7 linked regions of the Danio rerio genome follow. The protein of the gene in region 1 purifies or fractionates together with the protein of each later gene. This does not show direct contact. Links are inferred from orthologs where the notes say so. Each region holds a gene or a part of one and is shown in the gene's direction. Other genes may lie near its edges.

Region 1 (3,500 bases):
ACTCTTAAAATGTAAATGTTAAACAATGATGAAATCAAAATGGTTATATTTAAATATGTATATTAATGCTGCACAATATATTGTTTCAACATCAACATTGCGATGTGCGAATCTGCAATAGTCACATCACAGGATCCGCAATGTCATATTGGGATTATAAGTAACCAGAAAACACGTCTCGTATCATGCGATTTGTGAAGTCGTTGCAAAAGACTTTTATTATTTTCTGTCTTTGTTTTAAAGGAATGTGACTAAGATTTCAGGAGAATTTGAAGCATTTAGGCACAAGTTTGTCGCTTTAATGGAGATGAATTGTGTTTAATTACTTAATACAGTAGAATAAAAACTGTGCAGTCTTAATTTACTTTTGATCATTAAATTTTTTAACTTCAATACTGTTAAACTGTCCAACCAAAAACCATTAACTGCACCCGCAGCTGTTTTTCAGTCATTTAAAACCCTCATGTCCCAGTCAGATCTCCAATTATGTGATGTTCACATTTATCTTGTGGATATTTCTCAGTAGTTTAGTCATTGTTGACACTGTTATTTTGTTTAACTAAGTGTCTGCTTTATATATATATATATATATATATATATATATATATATATATATATATATATATATATATATATATATATATATATATAATTTTTATTATTGTTTTTTGGATAAGATTAATATTTGTGTATAGGGAAAATCTATTCATTCATTTCTGCTTTTTATACTTTGACTATTTTGTACTCTATTTTTTTATTTATTTATTTATTTTTCATATAGTCATTTTAGAAAAAGATTTTCATATTACAATGTATACAGTATTGCAGGAAAACTAAACTAAATATTTTTCCCAATATTGTGCAGCCCTAATATATATTTTAAAAACTTATTATTCACTTAAATATATTATATTTTTTTTATTATTATTTATTGTTTATAGATTTTATATATTTTTAAATATTTTATTTTAATATATAATACAATTTTTAAAAATACCAACACAATATCAATGTTTTAACTTCTGATAAGTAAAAACCCTTTGACAATTTTTGAGAAATCCAGAGAAAATTATCTTTAAAATGCCTTTATAAAAAAAAAATTACAATAATAAAAAAAAATGGCTGTGATGCGCGCGCGCACACACACACACACACACACACACACACACACACACACAAATAAATGGACTTCAGATGCAAAAAATCTGACAGACTTTTGCATCTGAAGGCTAAGTGTATTTCACTTGATTACAAAATAGTAAATCAGCTAAATTATTTTCCTTTCTCTCAGGGCAAAGTCTCCTCAGCCCCCTCTGGAGGAAGAAGATGAAGAGTTTGATGACACAACCGTGTGTTTGGACACCTGTGAGTATGAAGATCTTACTTAAAAACAACTCGCAATATGTTTTTGATGCAAAATACTGGTGATATGGTAAAGCCTGCAGGTCACAACATCGTTTCTGCTGAATGTGCAGTCAGTCTGTAGCTTGTAATAAATACAGTCTCGTCTTTTCTCTTCAGACAACTGTGACCTGCACTTCAAGGTGTCTCGTGATCGCTACAGCGCCTCGTCTCTTACGATGGAGAGCTTTGCCTACCTGTGGGCAGGAGGACGAGGGTCTTATGGAGTGGACAAGGGCAAGGCTTGCTTTGAGATGAAGGTGAGAGTTCGCTCTTAAAGGCAAAATATGTACAATTTTCTCTAATGCTGTGCAAAGATTAATTGCATCCAAAATAAAAGTTTGTTTTGAGATATATGTATAGTGCTGCCTTTGGTGATTGCCTAAAGATAAATACAAAAAACAATGCATGTGGAATAATTACAGCAGTTGCTGTCATTGATCTTATATGAAGAGCTTGCAACATCATATGATGTCGTGTGCAGGTGCTGTAGTGCTGTCCCATTTTTTTAGGGAAAGATTTTGAAATCCTTTACCTTCACACTCTGTTTCAAGGGCCAAGGGGTAGGTGTAAAATAATACAATAGGGATTGGGCCTTGGTTGTCAGCAGAACATATTAATGTTTGCCCACTAGCAGCCATTCCCCTAATGGTGTAACATCATGTTAAAACTATCAATATGGTATATGCCGAGCTAGTGCTGTTCCCATGTTGATACACTTCTGGTGACCTGTTATTGTGAACTTTTTTTCCCTTTTATACGGTTCCTTATACAGCATCGATGTTGTAATGTCATTAAAATATATTCAGTTAAACGAACTTTAGCATTTATTTAGTTGCTCAAGCGTTAAATGAGACAAAAAGCTGTTTACTCGCACGCGCCTGTCAGAATCGGCACGCTAACGCAGAAGCTCCATTGAATACACTGGGGTAAAATAAATGCTCATATTATAAAGATATGGCAGGGGAAATGTAATTTAATGCGGTGCTGCTTGTACAATCTGAGACCCACTTTAAATCGGATATCATTTTTAAAGAAAACAGACCTTAAACGCACCGGATTTTGCATTGGCATTCAATTCGCCGGAAGCGCTTAACCCAGGTTACTGGCAAATTAAAAGTCCTATTAGCATGCTTCGGCATATACCCCATTGAGATCTCTTTAAATAAAAAATAATAATAATAAATAATGATTCTCTGTTAATCCAGAAAAAAAAATTACACGTCTTGATCAAATTATCCGGTTGATTTAGCTAAAAATGTTTGTTTTTATTTTTTGCATTTATATTTGAGATTGTTATAAAATGTTATGAATGGGAAACAATCAGATTTATCTGCTATGTACAGTGCTCAGCATATATAAGTACACCCCTCACAAATCTCTCTTTTAAATTCATATTTTTTATAGGAAGCTATACAATATTATATTTGTGCATACACATTAGATTAGTCAGTGTTAAAGGCAAATCTGGAGCTTATCTAACAAAATAACTTTCGATAACGGTCAAACTAGTACAGACAAATTTACTTGTTATAGAAAAATAATAAAAACAAATTTTAAAAAGAGGAAAAATCAAGAAAAGCAAAAAAAAAAAAAAACTATTTAGTTGAAATGTTAGAGGTTGTAATTTTTTTATTTAATTGCATTGTCTTTCAATTTCTGAATATGTTTGGTGACTAAAATATAATTCTAATAAATATATCGGTTTAATAAATCTGTTTTGTTAAAATGCACCAAAATACATCGCCTATATTCACTGAGAAATGGATACAAATATTCATCTTCAAAATGGAGTGTACTTAAATATGCTGAGCACTGTAATGGCTAAAATGGAAATAAACATACAAGTACTTCCACTGTGAGCAGGTTATCGAGAAGATCCCTGTTAAGCACATCTCCAGTAAAGGAATTGAAGATCACGATGTCCTGGTGGGCTGGTCATTGGCCAACAGCTCTTATCTGCTGGGTAAGGAGGGTCTTTATATTTAGTTCGAAAATGAATTTTTTAGAGGCGAACACCTAAATTCAAAGTGCATTCTTTATGCTGACAGGAGAGGAAGCTTACTCGTATGCCTTTTCAATGACGGCCAAGAAAACCA
Region 2 (3,689 bases), on another chromosome or scaffold:
CCCAACGTCAAGAATAATGTGAGCCTTGTGTGCACGTCTTACTTTTAGCACCTTTAGTGAAAGTGTAGGGATGGTCATATATATCTTGTTACCATTTTAATGGGTTGATTTCTGTATTAAATTGAACATTTTTCCAGTTTCTAATTTATGAAGTCTAAAAGCTCTTCATTTGGAAATTATATTGTAAAATTACAACTTAATCACTTCTAAACGTTTTCACTTTCTTTAATATTAATTAGGGGTGTTAACCTACACTGGTCTCACGGTTCGGTAACGATTATCATGCCATCGATTCAGTTTAATTCGATATCTCAGTGCAAAATGAGTTTTTTTTTTTTTCTCCCAACACTATTTTTTTTTTTATTAAAATCTGAAAATATATTAATATTTATATATTATTTGTAACACAATTTTGTCCTTTAATACAAGAAGTAAGATATATGAACTGTACCTTTAATTTGACCTGCTCAAAGAAAACACTCTTTTTCAAGGTATCAAACAAAACTCCCAATACATACACAGAAGACAACATGAGCATTTTTAGGCAATAAACTTATGGAAATATTATCCCACTTGCTTTGAGCGTTGTTGAGTGAGGTCTTGCCTCTATGACTGGTTATTGTCTTCACCCGTTTGACAGAAACAGCTGTGATTGGCTTTAGACATAAAAGTGCTGTTCACTGATGAGTGACACGGGAAGAACAGCCATGGTTACAGTCTATATGTGCATAATATGCAGTTATCAAAGGTAATCCACAGTGGAGAAAACTCGCACCACAGGGAGGTTCGTGTCTGGATCCACAAGTATCGCTTTACCAGCCAAGAGAAGGGGAAAAGTTAACTCATGAACAGGCCAGCGGGTCAAATATACAAAAGTGAGGGAGGGAGGGAGGGAGGGAGGGAGAGAGAGAGGCAGAGATGGCTTTTTACAGCATTTCTCCTTAGTAGTATAATAGCGGCTCATGTGCTGTGTCTTCTTCAGTCAGTCTCAATGAAAGCCTTTCCAGTAAACTCACAAGCAGTTGAACTGCAAAATTATCTACCTTTTCAGTAGTAGGAGCGTTTTATTTACTTGCCCTCTCCTACTTCGCCATAGTATTCTACTGCGACATCGTGCATAGGAGATAAATGACATCAGTATCCAATAGTTTTTTGACACCCCTAATATAATAATAACTTTAATATCGGCCAAATGTTATTTGCAGAAAAGTTAATATATTTAGACATGCATCTCTTGACTAGCCAATTTTTTTTGCAGGATCATGTACACTCTGCCTGCCTGCACTCCAGATTCAGTGCAGCCCTAACATTTTTAATAGTTCCTCCCCCAAAAATGTTTTGTTGCTGAAGTAAAATTTTCTGCTATACAAGTCATTAATGCTTTCAGAGAGAGGATTTTTTTAAATTATTATTTATTTTCCAAATTATCAGCATTTGCTTTTAAAATGTCTTAAAATATGTCATGTCTAAAAATAATAATATAATAGTACTAAAAAAAAAGCATGCATTAAAGCATATAATCCTTGGACTTCTGTAAAATAAGAAACTAGGCAAAAGTTAGTTACAGTGGAAAATTGCACATGTTGGTTTGGGTTAAACAGTAATGTAATTTAATAACGCAAATGAAAAATACATGGATTCTATACAGTTTGTATATTCTGATTTATATATTCAAATTAATTTGATATTCTATAGTAATGTTGGAAAATTCAGCAAAAAAACAGTATTATTGGCTAGTCACACTTACCCAAAAAAAGTCTAAATCAGCCACGAAAATTGCTATCGGTACATCTGTAAATTTTGTCTTCATTTTAAATGAAGCTTGTACTAGAAGTTGTCAATGTTGCTGCAACTCTATTGATTTTCAAAACTGTTCACACTCTTATAATTATTACAATTTAAACATGTACTTTTTTTCCTCCCCCTACAGAGAGACCTGGACTTTACTGTCGACATTGACTTCAAGGGTCAACTTTGTGAGGTGTCCAAGACATCAGAGTACAGAATGCGCTAGTTTCCATTAGCATCAGTGCACATGTGTGGAGCAAATCAAGAGAGCAGTGTATGCCTGTGTGTTAAACCATGACCCTTTGTTCCATGACTGCGCAGTTTTAGAGATCTTGTTTTGCAGAATGTTGTCTGACATGGAGGATTTAGAATTGTTTTGTAAGTGAACTCTTGATTTTGTGTAAAATGCGCACGAGAGGACTAAACATGGCAGATTTTACCGTGTTTTTTCCATCTTGTGTGTTAAACCTTTTTGGCCCTGCCTTTTTCAAAGTTTAGATGCACCATCTGGGAAAGGATTCCTTGAGTTCATACACACATGCACACACTTGCGCCTGCTCTTTGCCCTCTGTCTGCATCTGAGACATGTCATTCATGTATGTTTTTTTTTTTTCCCCTGCCATGCCAGCATGTCTTTGTTGGTGACAAAAAAATGCTAATCAGCCATATCTTTTGATAATCCATCTGGTAATGCCAGCATTTTTCATGTAGGTAAAACCTGTTGTCATGTTTGACTGTGGACTGAAACTCTGCCCTGTTACTTGCCGAATTATTGTTTTATTTTTTTTCTGTCTGTACTGGAAGGCAGTTGTCTTGGACCATCACTAGAGGGCGCCTCCATAACATGCCATTAGTCTGAGGAGTAACCATTTTAATTTCCATTGTGCTCCTATGTCCATGCTTTTTTTTTAAGTGCTTGTGGCAATGACCCAGTCAGAGGATAATATTGTGTCATTTGAGATGGTGCAATAATCTCCTGTACAACTCATAGATGGTGTTAATAAGCACTCTTGTAGATCTTTTGGTCTTTTTAAATCTCATGTAGGACAAATGTTCATCTGATGACTGTTTAGTTTAAGCTTATCTGCTGCTCTTTTGCACTGTAAGCACTTAACTAAGTTTCTCAGACCCAGAACTACAATATTATAATTCCACTGAAGGAAACCTTCAGCCTAAATTTTCCATAGAAATGCTTTTATTGAAAGATGATGCATTTCCTGTGTTTGGGTAACTTCACGTTTGTTGATCTTCTCTGTGTTGCTGTGTACTACAGTGTTTTTGTGGAGGGATGCAAGTTTGTGTCTGATGTCTAGCACTGGTGTGGATTGTTATCAGGCAGACATTTGTCTAGGAAGTGTATTATTTTCTTTTCTTTTTTTGAAATAAAAACATTAAACCTCATTCGTTGATTTCAGTGATTTGAAAAATGCAAAGTTGTTTTTTTTTTTCATTTCGAGTGTACAACTGATGATCAAAAAATTATAATCTTTAATGTTTGAAACGCTGCTTGTTAAATCGAAGGTGATGTTGCTGTAGATGTAACACGGGCAAATGATGAACTGCCCACCCACTATAACTGTCCTTTCAATGCATTTCGGAGCTTGATTAGATTTGCTGTTCTTTTGTTTAGTGCAAACTAGTAAGCATAGAATTTTAGTGTACTAGCCTCTGTGCTTGTGTTTTTTTCAGAGCCTTATGAGATTTACGTTCAAACTTTTTTTTTGTGCCTGTATGAACAACATTGGACATTTTAATTTTTTATTTATTTTGTGATGTGAAGTTGTGTGGTCTCAGATGAACACAATTCTTACTTTGAAATAAATAATGTAATGCTTAGCCTATAAAGACATGCGTTTGAAAAACATTTTTGCATTAAAGCTAATCTGTTATGTATTTTTTTT
Region 3 (3,500 bases), on another chromosome or scaffold:
AGACCATTCACACACAACACATTTGTTCAAGCATGGATCTTTTTTGTGTTCATGATCTTTTGCGGGATCACACTGTTTTTCTAAAAACGTTTAAAGTGTCTCTTATGTTTAACACAAATGTGTTCTGTGCCGGTCCTTCTGGACTCGCATACTACGTGAGGATTAAGAAACTCTGCAAGAAGACTACAACTTTATAAATAGGCTCTCTCTTCTGCAACCAGGTATCGTGAGCACTGTCCTGCAGGCCAGCCTGTGAAGGTGCGTGTGTCTTACCAGAAGCTTCTGAAGTACTATGTGTTGAATGCTCTAAAACACAGACCACCAAAGGCACAGAAAAAGAGGTGAGTCTGCTATTCCAGAGCCTGTAGCAAGGTGTAATTTAAAAAGAGGTGTGTTGTAATGCATATAACAATGGTTGTATTTTCCTTTCTCTTCTTTAGATACCTGTTCCGCTCTTTCAAGGCCACCAAATTCTTCCAGTCAACAAAGCTGGACTGGGTAGAAGTCGGACTCCAGGTGTGCCGGCAGGGCTACAACATGCTGAACCTGCTGATTCACAGAAAGAACCTGAACTACCTGCACTTGGACTACAACTTCAACTTGAAGCCTGTAAAAACCCTCACAACAAAGGAACGTAAGAAGTCTAGATTCGGAAATGCGTTTCACTTGTGCCGTGAGGTTCTGCGCTTGAGCAAGCTGGTGGTGGACAGTCATGTACAGTACAGGCTTGGAAATGTTGATGCTTTCCAGGTATAACAAATACAACCTTTATGCACTCTGTGAAGCTTGTTAGTTTTGTGACCACTAATAAACTTGTCTGCCTTCCTGTAGCTTGCTGATGGCTTGCAGTACATCTTTGCCCATGTGGGTCAACTGACTGGCATGTACCGCTACAAGTACAAGCTCATGAGGCAGATCAGAATGTGCAAAGACCTGAAGCATCTCATCTACTATCGCTTCAACACAGTAAGTAGCACTCAATGGGGTTATCAAAAAACATTGTTTCTGTCACATGTGATGGATGGATGGTTTGGATTGATGCTATTCCTTGCAACTAAAGTCATCTATCTTTTAGGGCCCAGTTGGAAAAGGTCCAGGCTGTGGGTTCTGGGCACCAGGATGGAGAGTCTGGCTGTTCTTCATGAGAGGCATTACCCCTCTTTTGGAGCGGTGGCTCGGCAATCTTCTGGCTAGGCAGTTTGAGGGTAAAATAAGCTTTGTATTTACAAAGGATGCTGAAAGGTGGTGTTCTGGATTAATTTGATGTGTATTGCTGTTTAGGTCGACACTCTAAGGGTGTTGCCAAGACTGTGACCAAACAGCGTGTGGAATCTCACTTTGATCTGGAGCTGAGAGCTGCTGTGATGCATGACATCCTGGATATGATGCCTGAGGGTATCAAGCAAAACAAGGCCAGAACCATCTTGCAGCACCTCAGTGAGTCATGGAGATGCTGGAAGGCCAACATTCCTTGGAAGGTACAGTTTTGTTGCTTATAAATATTATTCAGATTTAAAAGTTTATCATTTAGGGACTGTTACTTAATTTTTCAGGTTCCTGGGCTTCCAACTCCCATCGAGAACATGATTCTTCGTTACGTGAAGGCTAAAGCTGACTGGTGGACCAACACGGCTCACTACAACCGTGAGAGAATCAGAAGAGGAGCAACTGTGGATAAGACTGTGTGCAAGAAGAACTTGGGACGTCTCACTCGACTCTACCTAAAAGCAGAGCAGGAGAGACAGCACAATTACCTGAAGGTACATTTTTGTGCGTTCTTATAAGCTTTAAACAGTTTGCTGTTTTCATAAAGGAACATGGAATAAATAATAATTTGTTTTATAGGATGGGCCTTACATCACAGCTGAGGAGGCCGTGGCCATCTACACCACCACAGTGCACTGGCTGGAGAGTCGTCGGTTCTCTCCGATTCCCTTCCCTCCTCTCTCCTACAAGCATGACACCAAGCTGCTCATTCTGGCGTTGGAGAGACTCAAGGAAGCTTACAGGTCAGGCCAGTTCCATAAAACAAACCTGAGCGAAGCTATTGGGTTGGTTTAGATGATTGCATCTTTTCTGACATTCTTTATTTTTTTCTTTATTTTTTTATTACAGTGTGAAGTCTAGGCTGAACCAGTCACAGCGTGAGGAGTTGGGTCTGATTGAGCAGGCCTATGACAACCCTCATGAGGCTCTGTCCAGAATCAAACGTCACCTCCTCACTCAGAGAGCCTTCAAAGAGGTTTGTACGCAATCACAATTTCAGCAGACATTATATAACCTCTGAATTCCTCTTGGCCTGTTACTGGTCCTAGCTTTCATATAAAGTAGTTAATTTCTTCTCCAGGTTGGCATTGAGTTCATGGACCTTTACAGTCACTTGGTGCCGGTTTATGATGTTGAACCTTTGGAAAAGATCACTGACGCATACCTGGATCAGTACCTGTGGTACGAGGCAGACAAACGTAGGCTTTTCCCACCCTGGATCAAACCAGCTGACACAGAGCCACCACCACTGCTGGTGTACAAATGGTGCCAAGGTGAAGAAGGAATTTATTGTTTCTAGATTGACCCATTTATAATTGTTCTTTTACTTTGGAATAATTTTAAATCAACATTTTCTTTGGCCAAAGACAAAAGCTTATTGCGTGATGCCTGTAATTATCCGAGTCCATATTTTGTCTTTAATTTCACTATTTAACATTTTATCTTTGTGGTTGCAGGAATCAACAACTTGCAGGATGTATGGGAGACAGCAGAGGGTGAATGTAATGTTATGCTGGAGTCTCGCTACGAGAAGATGTATGAGAAGATTGATCTGACGCTGCTGAACAGGCTTCTGCGTCTCATTGTTGATCACAACATTGCTGATTACATGACAGCTAAAAACAACGTTGTCATTAACTATAAGGTCTGTTTATTTGCACTGAATAGTTCATTTCTAAAATCCCCTTTTTCTTTATACTTTTAAGAGGTTTACTTTCATTGCATAGCTTGATATTTAGATGTCTGTTTTTTCTTTTGACAGGACATGAACCATACAAACTCGTACGGTATCATTCGTGGCCTGCAGTTTGCCTCTTTCATTGTGCAGTACTATGGACTTGTGATGGACCTGCTGGTGCTGGGTCTGCACAGAGCCAGTGAGATGGCAGGACCTCCTCAGATGCCTAATGATTTCCTCAGCTTCCAGGATACGGCCACTGAGAGCGCGCATCCCATCCGTCTGTACTGCAGATATATAGACCGCATTCATATCTTCTTCAGGTTAGTAGTGCAGATAAATAAGTTATATCTTCCTTTGCCCAGTTTAATTCTTGAAGTTATATTTTCTAATCTACTGGTTTGGCTTTATGTAGGTTCTCTGCTGATGAGGCCAGAGATTTGATCCAGAGGTACCTGACTGAGCACCCGGACCCCAACAATGAGAACATTGTGGGGTACAACAATAAGAAATGCTGGCCTCGAGATGCTAGGATGAGACTGATGAAACATGATGT
Region 4 (4,134 bases), on another chromosome or scaffold:
GATGACCATTCGGCAAGCTAATCCAGCTAAAATTAGTGCTTAAAATATCACTTAAATGCAGTTTTTATATCTCATAATTAAATAGAAAATGAGGCAGATAACTGCAAAAAGGTCCACTTCCTAAGAAAAAAGGAAGTTTTCACCCTTTTCACCAGGTTACGGGTGGGCCTGTGAATTTTATGTCAAATAATAAACTGTAAAAAATATTCTGGTGGCCTTAAATTTTTAAGCTGAATCAATTTAACTTGAGTCCATTGAACTTATTTTATGTTAAACTGACTTGAAACAGCTTTCTAAACTCGTAATTTAGGTTAGTATATGATTAACTTAGTTTAATAAGTCACAATGAACTGAAAACATTTGCTGTCACGACTCTTGATCATATATTTTTTACAGTGTGGAGATCAATGTTTTTGAAGAAAGAAATTTTGAAAGTAGTAATAGTTAAAAATTCTACATGTCCAAATGCTCAACCACTACAGTAGGTCAAAATTAGCAAAAAAAAAAAAAAAAACGGTTAGATTGTACTTTGTAAGATCCGAAAATGATAATGTTCATCATGTCATTTCAAACCGCAACATACTGTTTATGTAATCAGGACTGATGATTTTTTTTCTTCACATTATTAAAAAATAAACCAAGCCTTGAATTTTTTTCCCGCCTTGCCTGCTCCAACTTGTCTATTGCATTTCATTAGTTATTGCCTCACTTCACAATCTCAGAGTGTTTCTGAATGTGGATCTATAGATTTGTTGAGTTTGCAGTTGAACAGAGAAAAGCAGTTGTAGAGAAATAGTGTTTAAGACATGCATTTTCTCAAATAAATAAATTAATTAATCTTACAGACATAAACTACACACGGTCAAGCAAAATTTCATTTTCAAGTTTTTAAAATTGCATTGCATGTATTATTGTAATTAAATATGTACTAAACATTATGTATTTTTAAATAATTATACATCCGGAATTATACAAGCTGGAACATTATTTATATTTAGTATATTCGGCTTACCATTTTTATAAAAAGTGTTAGAAAATGGCCTTGGAACTTGGAACATTATTATTATTTTAATAAATAAACGGTAAATATTGCATTATGTTTCATAAGCAAATATTTTATTTCAGTGTTTCTACGTCAAATTGTCATGTTTACTTCAATGCATGACTTGTTTTAGTGTAGTCATTTGTAAACTAGAAATTTCTATCAGTGGAATTTTAGCACCATTCCTCAAATCCCGCCTTTTTTCCTGTGAATGGGGTGTGTCTTACGGCGAGAGAGAACATTGCGTCATGACGACAGTCATTTTAAAAAAGGCTCTTTCTTAGCAGCAGTCGAGTCTTACGGCGGTCACCAACGGCAAACAAATGTCTGAAATGGAGAAGCTGTGCAAACTCTTCGTTGGCGGTCTAAACGTCCAAACGACTAATGATGGTCTCCGCTCTTATTTTGAGCAGTTTGGGAACCTGACGGACTGCGTGGTGGTCCAGAACGATCAGCTTCAACGATCCCGTTGTTTCGGCTTCGTTACGTACTCCACCTCGGAGGAGGCTGATGCAGCAATGGCCGCCAGGCCACATGTTGTAGACGGTAAAAACGTGGAGGTGAAGAGAGCCGTGGCTCGAGAAGACGCCGGAAGGCCCGAAGCTCTCGCCAAAGTCAAGAAAATATTCGTCGGTGGCCTAAAAGATGACATCGAAGAAAAAGACCTCACCGAATTTTTCTCGCAGTTCGGCATGATCGAGAAATCCGAAGTCATCACCGACAAAGACACCGGCAAGAAGCGTGGTTTCGGCTTTGTCCACTTCGAAGACAACGACTCTGCAGACAAAGCCGTCGTGCTCAAGTTCCACATGATCAACGGACACAAGGTGGAGGTGAAGAAAGCGCTCACGAAACAAGAGATCCAGGCTGCCGGTGGAGCCCGCGGCGGCAGAGGGAGAGGCGGAGGAAGAGGCATGGGCCGCAATCAAAATGGCTTCGGCGGCGGTAGAGGAGGAGGCTACGGCGGCTACGGGGGCGGCTATGGCGGAGGATACGGCGGAAACGATGGCGGCTACGGCGGTAGTTATGGAAGTGGAGGCTACGGTGGCGGTTACGGAGGTGGATACGGAGGAGGCTACGGTGAGCAGATGGGGGGCTATGGCGGTGGAAACGGTTACAGTGACTTTGGCAGCGGATACGGCCAGCAGTCGTCCGGCTACGGTCCCATGAAAGGTGGAAACACATACGGCGGCAGGAGCGGAGCCCCCTACCCCCGTGGTGGTGGCGGTGGGCCTGGTTACGGCAGGGGTGGTTATGGAGGCTACTAAAGCAGGTTGGGAAAGACTCTGCAGCTGCTCCCCTCCCCCAGGTTCTCTCGGTTTCCACATTGGGCTCATTCACCCGGCCATGCAAGAGATGGCGGACACTGTGAAAGCATACCTAAAAGACCTCAATTCTTAACAGGTAGGAAGAAGATCTCTTCCCAGAAACCTGACTTGCTCGACCAGCTTTAGTTGTAGGACATGTTCTATTATTATTATTATTCTATATATCTCTATATGTCATTTATTTCCCAATTTTAGGGCATGCAGCAAGATGGCCCCGCTTTTCTTTCTTTTTAAAGAAACGATTTGTTCGCAGCCGATTCGTTTTTAAATTTTGTTCAACACTGGCGATTTGTTGTCTAAATGCATACTCAATAGACTTGTTTTCTATATAAACTGTTGCCTAGCAGTGTCATGGGGGGGATTAACGCATGCAGTTTTGAGTTTGTGTTCGTCTTTGTAAAACCCACCACGAGATTTTTTTTCCTAACTAGTTTATCATGATGGGGATAGATTAGGCTTACGTGATTTTTGTTTTATTTAGTAAACTAGAAGAGAAACGCACTCATCTGAGTTCAGTTCAACGTTGTGTAAGCATCATACTTCCAACATTCTCTTGTGTATTGTATATTATGTCTTCAGATCAATCCAGTATTGTTAAACATTGATATGCAATTGTATGTTACTTTTTAAATAAAAGTTTCACAGCTTAATTATCTTTTTATTATCCTATAGACTTTAATTAATGGGTTTCCACTACACCTCTAATAGTCAAAGCATATGCATATGATTATTATGACATTAAATTAAGTCTGCATCACATTCAGTGATATACTAATTATTATTCTAGTGTTTATGGCTTTTATATTTACTCTTGATTCCCATATTTAGGTGTTCTTTCAGTTATTCCACTACTTCAAAATAGCTGTAGCAGTTTGTTTGTACAGGGAACCTGTTCAGTACCTGGGTTCGATTGTGATAGGACTGAAATATCTCATTAGGATATCATCCTGCGATCTAGGTATGTAATCAACCTGTCTTCACTACGTGTTGGTCAAGTATTACCATTTTATTATATTTATTCCTAAATATTTTTTAATTATCATTATTAGTCACCATCTATAAGTCAAGTGGACATGAACTGGTGCGATGGAATTTGGGTTTGTGTAACACCGCGGCTTATTAGGATCTTGACTTAAAGGATTTTTTCTTAACTTGATATTAAATCCTTGTGTTTATCTTGCATGACTAACATGTTTCTTTTCTTCATGTCTTTTCCCCCAGGTGACCTTGAATGCAGGACTATGCCCACATCAACTGTGGCCATGGAGTTTTCTACATGATCCACAATAGACTGATGAAGCAGTAATAAACTGTTTTCTGTGAAAATGTGTATATTTTTACTAAAAATGTGTTTTTAATAAAAAAGGTTTATAAAATCATGTGTGGTGTATTTTGATATGTACTGGAATGACTTTCCCCTGTGAGTAAATCTGTGGAGATTATGTAGGTTTGTAGGAGATTGAGGATTAATGGATGGATTTGTGTTTGTTCGGGGATGAGGTCCAATAGGATCATTTGAAGCATCTCTAATTTAAATCTGGGTTGTATAAAATATGCAAACAGCTCTTAAAGTTAAATAAAGCCATACAAGTATTGAGTATTTGTGCATTGCTACTAATACAAAGAAGATCAGAAGATGTGGACTGCAAAAGGCATCTTTAAACATTACTTATAAAGCTTCTGAAAATCCAACCTTTTTAAATTATAAGCAATAATAAAAAGTGGTGGCTGATCTCCACACTTTATATATAATTTAATCAAAAT
Region 5 (3,500 bases), on another chromosome or scaffold:
TATCACACAAACAAATACTTTTTCCCTGAAAATCAATTGCAAATGTGAAACCCCCAAATGCAAAATACAGGTTACAAATACAGGTTATTCAAGTGTGACATTAAATAACTTGTTTGATTGGCTTTTTGCAGGTTTTGATTCCTCCAAAAGGTCTTCTGCTGAAACTGAAGAAAGAAGCAGAGAATCCTCGAGAGGTCTTGGACCAGGTAATCAAATATAGAAATGAACACCAAAATTTAAAATTTCAGGTCACACGGGGTGTGAATGAAAAAAAAAAAAAAAAACATAAGATATTGGTAGACAAAATCATATTTAGAGTTTTTTTGTGCCCTAAACATACTCTTTGAGCTTTGAATGATTGCAGTTTAACCAGTGAAGTTTCATGGATTTTTTTAACAATGTCTTTGATTCTTTTTTTTTGAACTTTTAATGTCTCACGAGTATTGCTGCCTATACATGACAATATCTAAATCTTACATTTATGATGAGATAAAATCTTTAAATATCAACTCTTTATGTTCTAAAGAACAAAAAAGGTTTCTGAGGATTGGAACAACATGAGCATAAGCAATTAATAATAGATTTTTAAAAATCTGGGTGAACTAACCTTTAGATAAAACGTTTTAGAAGACACATTTTACCAAAGCCATTTACATTTGATCAGATCTTGCTTTTCCTGAGGAAAAAACTCATGATATTGAACAGCATGCTCTGCTGTTATAGCAACAGGAAAATCTTGTAGCAAAACTGAAGGTCAATCAGACAGCAGAACTTAAATACTAAATATGATTGATATGTTTTAGGAAGTCTTTTGATTATGAAAATCACAAAAATATCCCTGTATGTGTAGTGATGAGATTGACCTTATTAGTATAATATCTCATTGTTCCCTTGTGTTGTAGGTGAGGTATCGTGTGGAATGGGCCAAATTCCAGGAACGAGAGAGGAAGAAGGAAGAGGAGGAGCGAGAGAAGGAGAGAGTGGCATATGCTCAGATTGACTGGCATGACTTTGTTGTGGTGGAGACAGTTGACTTTCAGCCTAATGAGCAAGGTAAGCATGTGTAACACAGGATATTTAAGGGGTTCGCACAAACATTCAATTGCACCAGAAGAAAGCTCTCAATTTGTACATTTTGTTATTAGATTTTTTTTATTAATATTACTGTCAATAATTGTATTAATAGGTTAGTATATTGATTAAAATATTAGTAATTTTGTTAATGCTATTTTTATGATTTTAGTTTCAGCAATAATATATCATTAATGTGTTTAATAGTGTTTTTGTCTTGCCTAAATACTACTTTTATATGTACAGTGCAAATTATTAATTATTACTCTTATACATTTACAGGTAATTTCCCTCCTCCAACAACTCCTGAGGAGCTGGGTGCTCGTATCCTCATCCAGGAGCGCTATGAGAAGTTTGGAGAGAGTGAGGAGGTAGAGATGGAGGTGGAGAGTGAAGATGAAGATGATGAGAGGGAGGGCAGAGAAGATGGACATGCAGCTCAGCCTGACCAGGACACACAGCTGCAGGACATGGATGAGGTGAGACACAAGGCTGCACAAGGGCTCATTCCATGTATCATGTTTATGCATCAGCATAGATGAGCAGTTTGTGGAAGTAGGATCTACATTTTTCTGACTGACTAGCACTTGTTCTTTGTTTCTCAATAGGGCTCTGATGAGGATGATGATGGCATGAAAGCTCCTCTGCCCCCTGATAACCCCCTGCCACCGCCTCTGCCCCCCACCCCAGACCAGGTTATCATTCGCAAAGACTACGACCCCAAGGGTGAGATTCCCACTACATTTATTAAAAAGCATACAAAAAGGACATATATCATTTGCTTCATTCATTCAGAAAATTGTTTTATTATTGGTTTATTATCAGTTAATTCTTGAAAACGCTTGAATTTTAATCTAGTGTTTAAGTTTGAAAAGTGCTTTGATTTTTAAATAAAGCGCTTTAAACTGCTTGAAAAGGCATTACAAGGAAAGTTTATTTATATAGCACATTTCATAGACAATGGTAATTGAAAGTGCTTTACATAAACAAAAATAAAATAAACAAGTATAAGAAAACAAAGAACAAAAGAATTGTTGTTGTCTGCGCCATTAGCCTAGTGGTTAAGTGTGTCGACATATAGCAACAAAGTGCTTACGATGACCTGAGCTCAATTCCCGGCTCAAGGTCCTTTACCGATCCTTCCATTTTCTCTCTGCTTCACACAATTTCCTGTAAATATTTTCCACTGTCCTATCAATCAAAGGTTAAAAACCCCTGAAAATAATTATAAAAAAGACAAAAATAGAATTGTTCTGCTTTCATAATAATTGAATTTACCAAATAGGGGGTAATTAACTATTTAATTAAAATTAAATATATATTTTAGCTTTTTCATAAAATTAAAGCTAACTCCATGGAGATTGCCACTTCATGGTGGAACATGCATATAATTTAAAATAAATACTCATTTATTAGGATAAAAGATTAAAGATGACGCATCAAGATGGATGTGAATTACTTTTAAAGGGGAAAATGCCAGTAAATCATTGGGGCTTGGGGTAAACATTGTAAAAAATGTTGTTTTAGAATACTTTACTGTACTGTATGTATTTATAGTTACTAATAACTGTTTAACCTAATAAAGTTTTCTGATTTTGATTGTAATGCAATAATGTGCACCTTTTTCAAAACTGCTTTGAAATAATAATTAATGAGATAAGTTATATACGCATAAACATGAAATAAATTGAACTATAGAATACTATAAAAAATAGCATCTTGTAAAGTGCTGTAAAAGTATAAAAATGCTTCTGGGAAGTACTTAAAGTGCTTACATTTGAATTTATAGAAGATGTAGGAACCCTGTATTATGTAAAATTGAAAAATATGCTTTGATTTCTATTTTGTATTTATTTATTAATTTTTGTATTTTTTTTATGTCATTTAAAATTAGGTTATCCCATGAAAAAAGACTTGGATGCTGAGATAGCATTAAAGTAAACATATAACTAACTAAGTGACTTTGTCTATTTTCCCCTCAGCTTCTAAGCCTCTTGCTCCGGTGGCCACACCAGACGAGTACCTCATCTCCCCCATCACGGGTGAGAAGATCCCTGCCAGTAAGATGCAGGAGCACATGCGCATTGGCCTGCTGGACCCCCGCTGGCTGGAGCAGCGTGACCGCAGCATCCGAGAGCGGCAGATTGAGGAGGAGGTGTACGCTCCCGGCCTGGACATCGAGAGCAGCCTGAAGCAGCTGGCCGAGAGACGTACTGATATCTTCGGTGTGGAAGAAACGGCCATCGGTAAGAAGATTGGAGAAGAGGAGATACAGAAACCAGAGGAGAAGGTGAGAAGAGTTTTAAGATACCTCAATAAGTCCACAGAACCAAAACTGTGCTCATAGCTAAAAAAAACACACACACAAAACATATTTTTTGAGTTATACTTGTGTTTTTTGGGCAAATTAGATATAAAATGATTAACAT
Region 6 (2,969 bases), on another chromosome or scaffold:
TTTACTACAGTATTTATTTATGCTATTAAACGTTATTTAATGAAAATACAGTTGTTCATTGTTAGTTCATGTTAACTCATGGTGCATTAACTAATGTTAACAAGCATGGACTTGAATGTTAATAATGCATTAGTAAACGTTCAATTATGATTAATAAATGCTGTACAAGTGTTGTTCATGTTAGTAAATGCATTAACTAATGAACCTTATTGTAATGTGTTACCCATTTACAGAGTGAGTGCCTCTCGTGTCATGCAAATCACATGTATGAAAGCTTTAAGATTGTATATAATAGTAGATATAATGATGATTGAGGAAGTTGTGGAAGGTTATTTAGGATGCCATATCTAGCAATGAAGCTTTATGAGTGAATAACTGAATCATTTATTGAAAATGAAACTAAAAATAAATTTAGGTTGTACAAATTATAATGCTAGATTTCTACATTTAGTGTTATCAGCAACGGTAGTAACAGTGAATTTTTCACAGTTCTGAATATTTTACAGTTTATTTTTATTTAGTTGATTTTTTTTTTCTTTTTAATAAAATTACAGGTTCTAAGTTCTGTTTGTTAAACCAAAAGTGTCTTGCAGTACTGTTTTTGTAATAAATAAAAAGCAAATGACATGTCTTCTCCCTTTTTGACTGATCCGAAAAATGGTCCGATGCGTGACAAAAAAAAAACAATAACGTGATCCGAACCGTGAGATTTGTAATCCGTAACACCACTAGTATATACAAGCTTGATCATTGTTGGGTCAGTTGGTGGAGTGGGGGTGTCTTTTATAGCTATTTATGCTACAAAAGAAGTCTAATCAAAATCATTTTCAAACATCTCTAAATCTGGAAAGCTCAACTCTTTAGACCCCCTTCACACCTGTATTTAGCTTCATCAGCTTGTGCTATCAGATGTAAACTGCACTTTTTCACTGCACTTATCTGTAGATGCAAGTATATTTAAATATTTCCAAATTGAATTGCAGGAAATCCCTGAGGATTTCAACATTGCTCCGAAAATTGAAAGCATCCTTCAAGAGTCCAAGTTCAGTGATAAGAGGGCACGTTCCATGGATATAGATGATTTCATGGTGTAAGTATAACCCGCTTCACTTCATGTACATTTTGTGTTTTGGGGGTGTTTTGTAAAGCATTTTTTTCTGCATCCATATTTTACGCTAGGCTTCTTCATGCGTTCAACTCTGCTGGGATACACTTCTCTTAAAATTTAAGGAACGGGGAACGGCTACTAGCTTTACAGAAGTGATGTCACGGTCTTCTCGTATTCTGGTTGATGCTTTCGTACATGCGAAGAAATGATTGACATTTCTTTTCAATGGACAAGCAATGGAACACTTAATCACTCAGGCTGGGATGTTTTGTGCCTTTCCTGTATTGGGGAAAGAATTATGGACTTCTTTTGAGAGGTAATACTTTAGATGTACGAGTGTGTGGTAAGAGCTTTTACTCTATAAGATTGTCTTAACGGATAAGACAAGTTTTTCATTACCGTCAGTCTCAGCACTGAACATCATCGTGTGTTTACTTCTCATTACTGAACTGTCAAGGTGAGAAATGATTGCTGTTAACACTTTACGGTAAGGTGCAGTTTTAATTGCATTAGTTAATGTAAAGAATTGCCATGAACAAATGGATCATTTGATTGATCAAAAATAATAATATTAACTACTATTTACTCACCCTTAAGTCTTTCTAAAATGTTTGAGTTCCTGCCTCTGTTGAACATAAAATAGATATTTTGAAGAAAGCTGAAAACCTTATATAGTAATTGTTTTCTCTGCTATAGAAGTCAACAGTTACAGGTTTTCAGCTTTCTTCAAAATATCTTCATTGTGTTTAACAGAAGAAAGTAACTCATAACTAAAGGTTTGAAACTGGTGAAGTATGATTAAATGATGACAATTTTCTTTTGTGGGTGTACTATCTCTTTAAATACAAACAATGAGCCGAACATTTTGCAGCATTTTTGCCTGGGTGGATATAAATGGATTGATAGCAAAGCTTCAGTTCATTTATAGAACTTGGAGTGTCAAACATGTATTAGTGAATCTAGAAAAAATAACATACTTTGAATATTAAATGTGTAAGTATTTAAAACATACATTTTATTTGCATTTTCGTACAGTTATTGAAACTGTACTTTGTATACTGTAAATATGATTGCAAACTATTGACCTATTCTCTAATTTGTTTAAGGCATGTTTCTTTAAAAGGGTTTAGTTGTACAAGGTCAATAAATCTTAAAGTAAATGTTTTGTTAACTTATTATTTAGAGTGTAAAAAATACAATCAAGAACATGTTCTCCAAACTTCTGAATACAAGTCTTTTGGCTTTTAAAGAAAGAAGAAAACTGCTTTGTTCATTTGTGTACGACTTGTGTCTAGTGCTTCTAATTTGATTCACTTTGAATTGTTTTCATGCTCCGAAAGTAAAACAACCTTTTTTTGGAATCGTTTTTGACTCCTTTCACAAATAGCCTAGAGTTTAACAATTGAGTTTAACCATTTTTAAATCCATTCAGTTAATCTCCAGGTCTGGCGGGTGCACTTTTATCTTAGCTTAGCATAAATCACTAAATCTAGATAGATCATTAGCTTCTTGCTAAAAAAAAAAAAAAGATAATTTTCCTCTTTAAGCTTGACTCTTCTGTAGTTACAATGTGGATTAAGACAATAAAAAAACAGCTTTTTCCAGGTTGATATTTTTTAACTGTAGGGGCCTCTATAAATGAACGTACATTCCCCCAAAATTCCCCCTCAGATTTTCATCTTTTGATGTGATAGAAAGGTTGAAGATATAAATTTGATTATTGTTATTATTATTATTATTATTATTATTATTATTATTATTATTATCATTATTATTATTATTATTATTATTATTATTATTATTATTATTATTATTATTATTATTATTATTATTATCATTTTTATTATTATTTTAAATATAT
Region 7 (4,223 bases), on another chromosome or scaffold:
AACAGGTAATGTACGGCTAAAAGGGTACAGAGTAAAAGGCGCCTCTCCTTATTTTTCCTTTCTTTCCCTAATTCTGATTATTGTACCTTGTTTGTACCTGCCAGCGGGGACTTCATTGCAGGCCGTGTGTCACCTGACCACGTCATTCTCTGGGCGTCGCACATAGCGGGCAGAGAGCACGGCATGCACGAGAAAGCGCTGTCCTGTGGTATGGTCTCTTCCAACTTCCTGTACCAGCGTAAAACAAACAAACAAAGGAGATTTTCCCCCATTTCATTAAGTTGTTGGTTTTCGTTAACAGTTCCAAATGTTTTTTTCCAGGACTTTGTTAATGTAACCTAAAAGTGATTGATAACTGCTTTGTTGTATGCTCTTTTTTTCAATTGTAGTGCTCTTGTATTTCAGTTGTGGAGCTTCAGTGATTGATTTATTAATTTATTTCTTTGTAATGTTTGGTTTTTGGTTACCTCCCCATGTAAATAATTGCATAAACTCTCTCATAATGCTTGCTTTTTCTTTAGAGGCCATAGAGAACTTCAAATGGGTACACCTCAGTGCTTTTTTCTTAAGCATAGCCTTTAAAGATCATATGTAAAGTGAGTTTTACGAAGCCATTAAAAGCTGAGAAATCTGATTTAAAACAGTTCAAGGATTGGCTAAAGTTTTTAATAACCATACCGTTTACACAGGATAAAGGCTAACCTGTTTGGGCTCGCTCCTCGATTGGTCCACAAACCGCTTGGAGCTGAGGCTTTTGCTGGCTTATGAGCTGTTCTGTCAGTCGGAGACGTTTAACATATGATCTTTAATCCTTAATGATGGTTTTCCTAGTTTAAAATCGACAGCTCAAGAAGTTAAACACTGAAACATGGACGTGCTTTGCTCGAGGTGTGGAAACCGGGTGATTCATCTCTGCTCTCTTCTCTTGTAGGTGGGCAGGTTGACTTCGACATTGCTCCTCGGAGGCAGCTTGTGTGGAATCCTGTCCTTAAACAACTATTAAAAACGTTATTCGGTCCTCTGGGGACAAATCCAGTGTCTAACCTTGTAAATAGCGAGGTGTTTCGTTTCCCAAGTTTGTCTTATTCTGTGCTTTGTTCAGATTGAACCTGTAGGTTTTGTGCTGATGTGTTCTTAAGTCTTGATTAGGAAAAGTGTCCTTTATTTTGTATTTTTAGTTCTTTTCCTGACGTTTTTGGATAAAGGGATTAAAAATTCTGAGAAAACCAATGTTTCTTTGTCGTGTGATTATTTTATACAACATTTATGACTAAGTTTTTTTAAAATATGTAATGTACATATAATAATTCAATATTATGCATTTAAAAGGTTTGAGATAAACAAACTAGATTTCCAGCCCTACAGCCAATGAGCGTGAAGCGACGTTGACGTATTTTGTAACCTTAGTGACGCCATCCCGTTCAACTTCCGGTTCTCCGCCATTTTGTGAATGGACGCCGTTGCCATCGACATTCTGAAATCAGACTAATACAAACGCGAATTTGAGCCGCATTAACACGATTTATAGGCATTTCGCTTCGGTTACGACCTAAGACGTTTTCGTCTGTAGAAACGACTGTAGCCGCGCGTGTTTTCGCCAATAGTTGATCAAATATGTCGGAGGAGCAGTTTCTGGGCGAAGACCCGACGATGAAGATGGAGGAAAATGATGATGGAGAAGGTTTCGGCGAAGAGCAGATGTCGGGGGATAATGGAGGACAGGGAGAAGCCGAGGGCTCCAAGATTGATGCCAGTAAAAATGAGGAGGACGAAGGGTGAGTTTCGGCTCCTGATGCACCATGGGAACAGACTGTAACCGAAGAATAAAATAACCTTGAGTTCATACATCGCTTCCCAATAGTAGTCGATTAGATGAGTAATTATCAACAAGGAATCGTTTTATATTAATTTAAAGTATTATAATCATTGCATTAATATTTGTGGTCATTATGCAATATTAATATCGTTATCAAAAGTGGCCGGTTGTGTAAATAACATGAATATGTGTGTCGGAGTATCGATTGATCGCTTTGCATACGTTTGTAGTAATTAATGTGGACTATCAATTGAAATGCTTTCAAAGCATTTGGTGATTTTAATGTAAATGAAGGTTTATTAAAATGTTTTCTATCTTTTGTTTAAAATATAACTTACTAGTCATATCCTAGTACAGGGTATCTGCTGTGTCTAAAATTGTCTTGAATCTCAAAAGCTAAATTTTAGGCTTTAAGAAGTCTAAATATACTGAAACATCGTGTTGTAGGTCTTAAATCTTTTTAACAGGTCTTAATTTTCCCTTGTTCATGTGTAGCGACCAAATCTAGCCATTAACAGCCATACATTCCCAATCTCTATAAAAGTCGTTTTAAAAATAACATTTATACCATAAAGTTATTATTACTTACAGTAACATTTGTTTAAAAGTTACTGCCAAGGATACTGACCTGACCTATATATTTTCATCAATAAATTATTATTATTGTATTATTAAATTTAAATACAGTGGACAAAAGGTAAAAATATTCAAATGAAAAAAAATCCTTAGCATTTAGCCTTGTATATTTCTAAAATTTCATTCATAATCTTCTTAAAAAATCTTAAATTTAACTTGTTGAAAGCGGCAGAAACCCTGTAATATTGTGTCATTTACATGCATTAACAATGATCAGTTAAATTTTTATTTAGTAAATTGATGAAAGAATAATAAATACTTTAACAGATGTATTGCCCGTCTCACTGTAAAGTGTTCCCTAATATTCGTTTGATAGTTCACCCTAAAATGAAAGACACTCAAATGGTTTCAAACCTTTTTCAGTTGAACACAGAAAAAGATATTTTGAAAAATGTTGCCAAGCTGTAGCCATTGACTTCCATAGCAGGAAACATATACTGTGGAAGTCAATGATTTCCAAAAATGTTCAGAATATCCTTTTTGTGTTTTTACAGAAAAAAAAAACTCATTGAGGTTTGTTCAAGTGGAGGATGAGTGAATGATGACAGAATGTTCTGTTTTGGGTGAACTGTCGCTTTAATGGACAGCTGCAAGTTGACTCATTTTCCAAATACATTTGCCTTTCAAATGCAGCTTTGTCAAATGTCAATTTGACAAAAGCATATTTTGAGAAACTCGGATTTAGAACTGAATGGTGTTTTTTTGTCTAGTATGCATAAATGAATTACTTTATGACAAAACAAGACTGAAATATAATCATCTATGGTCGGTTGCAGAAACTACTTAGACTAGTCATACAAGGTAGTCATTGTTTATATAATTATTATTTCCTATAAAGACTGGTCATAACTACAGGTATACACGTGTAATAGTCAATATGGAAAGTTAATAAACATCAATTATTTTGCTGCTAATCTGCAATGCTAATTTATTTTTAAAATGAAAATTAAATCTAATATTTATGGTTGTTTTAATTTTTGTAAGAAAATAATGAAATGCTTCTGTTAATCAACAGATTCTCTTGACTAGCCTGGAAAGATACTCCATCACAGTTACATTTTCAAATGCACATCATAGACCATTTTATGGGACGTAAACAAAAACAATAGTCCCAATGTATTTCCTGTTTTACATTTTTTATTTCTGTAGCTTTCGAGAATCCAAAAAGAGCCACATATTGATAAATGATGTTATGACAGCTATTTTATCAAGTTACGATTGAATTGCCTCTTGTTACAGTTATGAAATAGTTTGATAACATGCAGGAAATGTTCATGGGCCAATGACATGACCACATTGAAATGGTCTATAAGCGACTCAGACTCAAATGCAGCATTCGCGAAGACGGCATTCAGAAGAGCAGGATTTATTTACAGTGAACCGAGGTGCACTGAGTCTAAAAACACTGTTATCATGAGCTGCTTATGTTAAAAGTCACAGTGCTGCACATCACATTACATATAATTACAACCCAGTATTTGCTGTCTGACAAACATGCTAATCCATATCATGTTCTCAGGCATTTTTAGAATAAATGAAATGAAGTAACCTATTTACTCTACTTTGGTGTGTTAAGTTTATCCCTCCCGAGTTGAAATCTGATTAAAATCAGATAGAAATCACTCTAAAGAGATAAGTTTACCTCAAAATTAAAACGTTCTCACTATTTTCTCAAGCCTCAAGAGATTCCAAATCCAAACCTTTGAGTTTTTATCTTCTGTTGAACACAAAAGATGTTTTGAAGAATGTTGGAAACCTGTAACCATTGACT

What was found.
Region 2: the proteins of hnrnpua (region 1) and prmt1 purify together in Homo sapiens (affinity purification with mass spectrometry; 4 studies listed by BioGRID and IntAct, with this or other methods). This does not show direct contact. The link is inferred for Danio rerio from reciprocal best matches to the Homo sapiens genes HNRNPU and PRMT1.
Region 3: the proteins of hnrnpua (region 1) and prpf8 fractionate together in Homo sapiens (co-fractionation; 3 studies listed by BioGRID, with this or other methods). This does not show direct contact. The link is inferred for Danio rerio from reciprocal best matches to the Homo sapiens genes HNRNPU and PRPF8.
Region 4: the proteins of hnrnpua (region 1) and hnrnpa0b purify together in Homo sapiens (affinity purification with mass spectrometry; 3 studies listed by BioGRID and IntAct, with this or other methods). This does not show direct contact. The link is inferred for Danio rerio from reciprocal best matches to the Homo sapiens genes HNRNPU and HNRNPA0.
Region 5: the proteins of hnrnpua (region 1) and sf3a1 purify together in Homo sapiens (affinity purification with mass spectrometry; 3 studies listed by BioGRID and IntAct, with this or other methods). This does not show direct contact. The link is inferred for Danio rerio from reciprocal best matches to the Homo sapiens genes HNRNPU and SF3A1.
Region 6: the proteins of hnrnpua (region 1) and dimt1l purify together in Homo sapiens (affinity purification with mass spectrometry; 3 studies listed by BioGRID and IntAct, with this or other methods). This does not show direct contact. The link is inferred for Danio rerio from reciprocal best matches to the Homo sapiens genes HNRNPU and DIMT1.
Region 7: the proteins of hnrnpua (region 1) and hnrnpd purify together in Homo sapiens (affinity purification with mass spectrometry; 4 studies listed by BioGRID and IntAct, with this or other methods). This does not show direct contact. The link is inferred for Danio rerio from reciprocal best matches to the Homo sapiens genes HNRNPU and HNRNPD.

The regions. Positions count from the first base shown.
Region 1 is NC_133192.1:12,686,454-12,689,953, reverse strand, and holds part of hnrnpua (heterogeneous nuclear ribonucleoprotein U), read left to right. Parts: intron 1-1,291; coding exon 1,292-1,365; intron 1,366-1,521; coding exon 1,522-1,661; intron 1,662-3,267; coding exon 3,268-3,367; intron 3,368-3,452; coding exon 3,453-3,500. UniProt on the Homo sapiens protein: DNA- and RNA-binding protein involved in several cellular processes such as nuclear chromatin organization, telomere-length regulation, transcription, mRNA alternative splicing and stability, Xist-mediated transcriptional silencing and mitotic cell progression.
Region 2 is NC_133178.1:31,168,095-31,171,783, reverse strand, and holds the end of prmt1 (protein arginine N-methyltransferase 1), read left to right. Parts: coding exon 1-18; intron 19-1,930; coding exon 1,931-2,014; 3' UTR 2,015-3,189; downstream 3,190-3,689. UniProt on the Homo sapiens protein: Arginine methyltransferase that methylates (mono and asymmetric dimethylation) the guanidino nitrogens of arginyl residues present in proteins such as ESR1, histone H2, H3 and H4, FMR1, ILF3, HNRNPA1, HNRNPD, NFATC2IP, SUPT5H, TAF15, EWS, HABP4, SERBP1, RBM15, FOXO1, CHTOP, MAP3K5/ASK1, MICU1 and NPRL2.
Region 3 is NC_133190.1:30,762,322-30,765,821, reverse strand, and holds part of prpf8 (pre-mRNA-processing-splicing factor 8), read left to right. Parts: intron 1-221; coding exon 222-341; intron 342-440; coding exon 441-750; intron 751-831; coding exon 832-966; intron 967-1,075; coding exon 1,076-1,205; intron 1,206-1,281; coding exon 1,282-1,478; intron 1,479-1,553; coding exon 1,554-1,760; intron 1,761-1,845; coding exon 1,846-2,009; intron 2,010-2,115; coding exon 2,116-2,242; intron 2,243-2,347; coding exon 2,348-2,540; intron 2,541-2,723; coding exon 2,724-2,911; intron 2,912-3,028; coding exon 3,029-3,267; intron 3,268-3,359; coding exon 3,360-3,500. UniProt on the Homo sapiens protein: Plays a role in pre-mRNA splicing as core component of precatalytic, catalytic and postcatalytic spliceosomal complexes, both of the predominant U2-type spliceosome and the minor U12-type spliceosome.
Region 4 is NC_133189.1:43,441,385-43,445,518, forward strand, and holds the start of hnrnpa0b (heterogeneous nuclear ribonucleoprotein A0b), read left to right. Parts: upstream 1-1,334; 5' UTR 1,335-1,365; coding exon 1,366-2,310; 3' UTR 2,311-2,446; exon of another isoform or gene 2,447-3,020; intron 3,021-3,254; exon of another isoform or gene 3,255-3,591; 3' UTR 3,592-4,134. UniProt on the Homo sapiens protein: mRNA-binding component of ribonucleosomes. Specifically binds AU-rich element (ARE)-containing mRNAs. Involved in post-transcriptional regulation of cytokines mRNAs.
Region 5 is NC_133183.1:43,426,844-43,430,343, forward strand, and holds part of sf3a1 (splicing factor 3A subunit 1), read left to right. Parts: intron 1-131; coding exon 132-206; intron 207-902; coding exon 903-1,053; intron 1,054-1,353; coding exon 1,354-1,550; intron 1,551-1,679; coding exon 1,680-1,797; intron 1,798-3,053; coding exon 3,054-3,361; intron 3,362-3,500. UniProt on the Homo sapiens protein: Component of the 17S U2 SnRNP complex of the spliceosome, a large ribonucleoprotein complex that removes introns from transcribed pre-mRNAs.
Region 6 is NC_133183.1:19,048,824-19,051,792, forward strand, and holds the end of dimt1l (dimethyladenosine transferase), read left to right. Parts: intron 1-983; coding exon 984-1,090; intron 1,091-1,179; coding exon 1,180-1,222; 3' UTR 1,223-2,469; downstream 2,470-2,969. UniProt on the Homo sapiens protein: Specifically dimethylates two adjacent adenosines in the loop of a conserved hairpin near the 3'-end of 18S rRNA in the 40S particle.
Region 7 is NC_133185.1:5,488,728-5,492,950, reverse strand, and holds the start of hnrnpd (heterogeneous nuclear ribonucleoprotein D0), read left to right. Parts: upstream 1-1,423; 5' UTR 1,424-1,614; coding exon 1,615-1,775; intron 1,776-4,223. UniProt on the Homo sapiens protein: Binds with high affinity to RNA molecules that contain AU-rich elements (AREs) found within the 3'-UTR of many proto-oncogenes and cytokine mRNAs.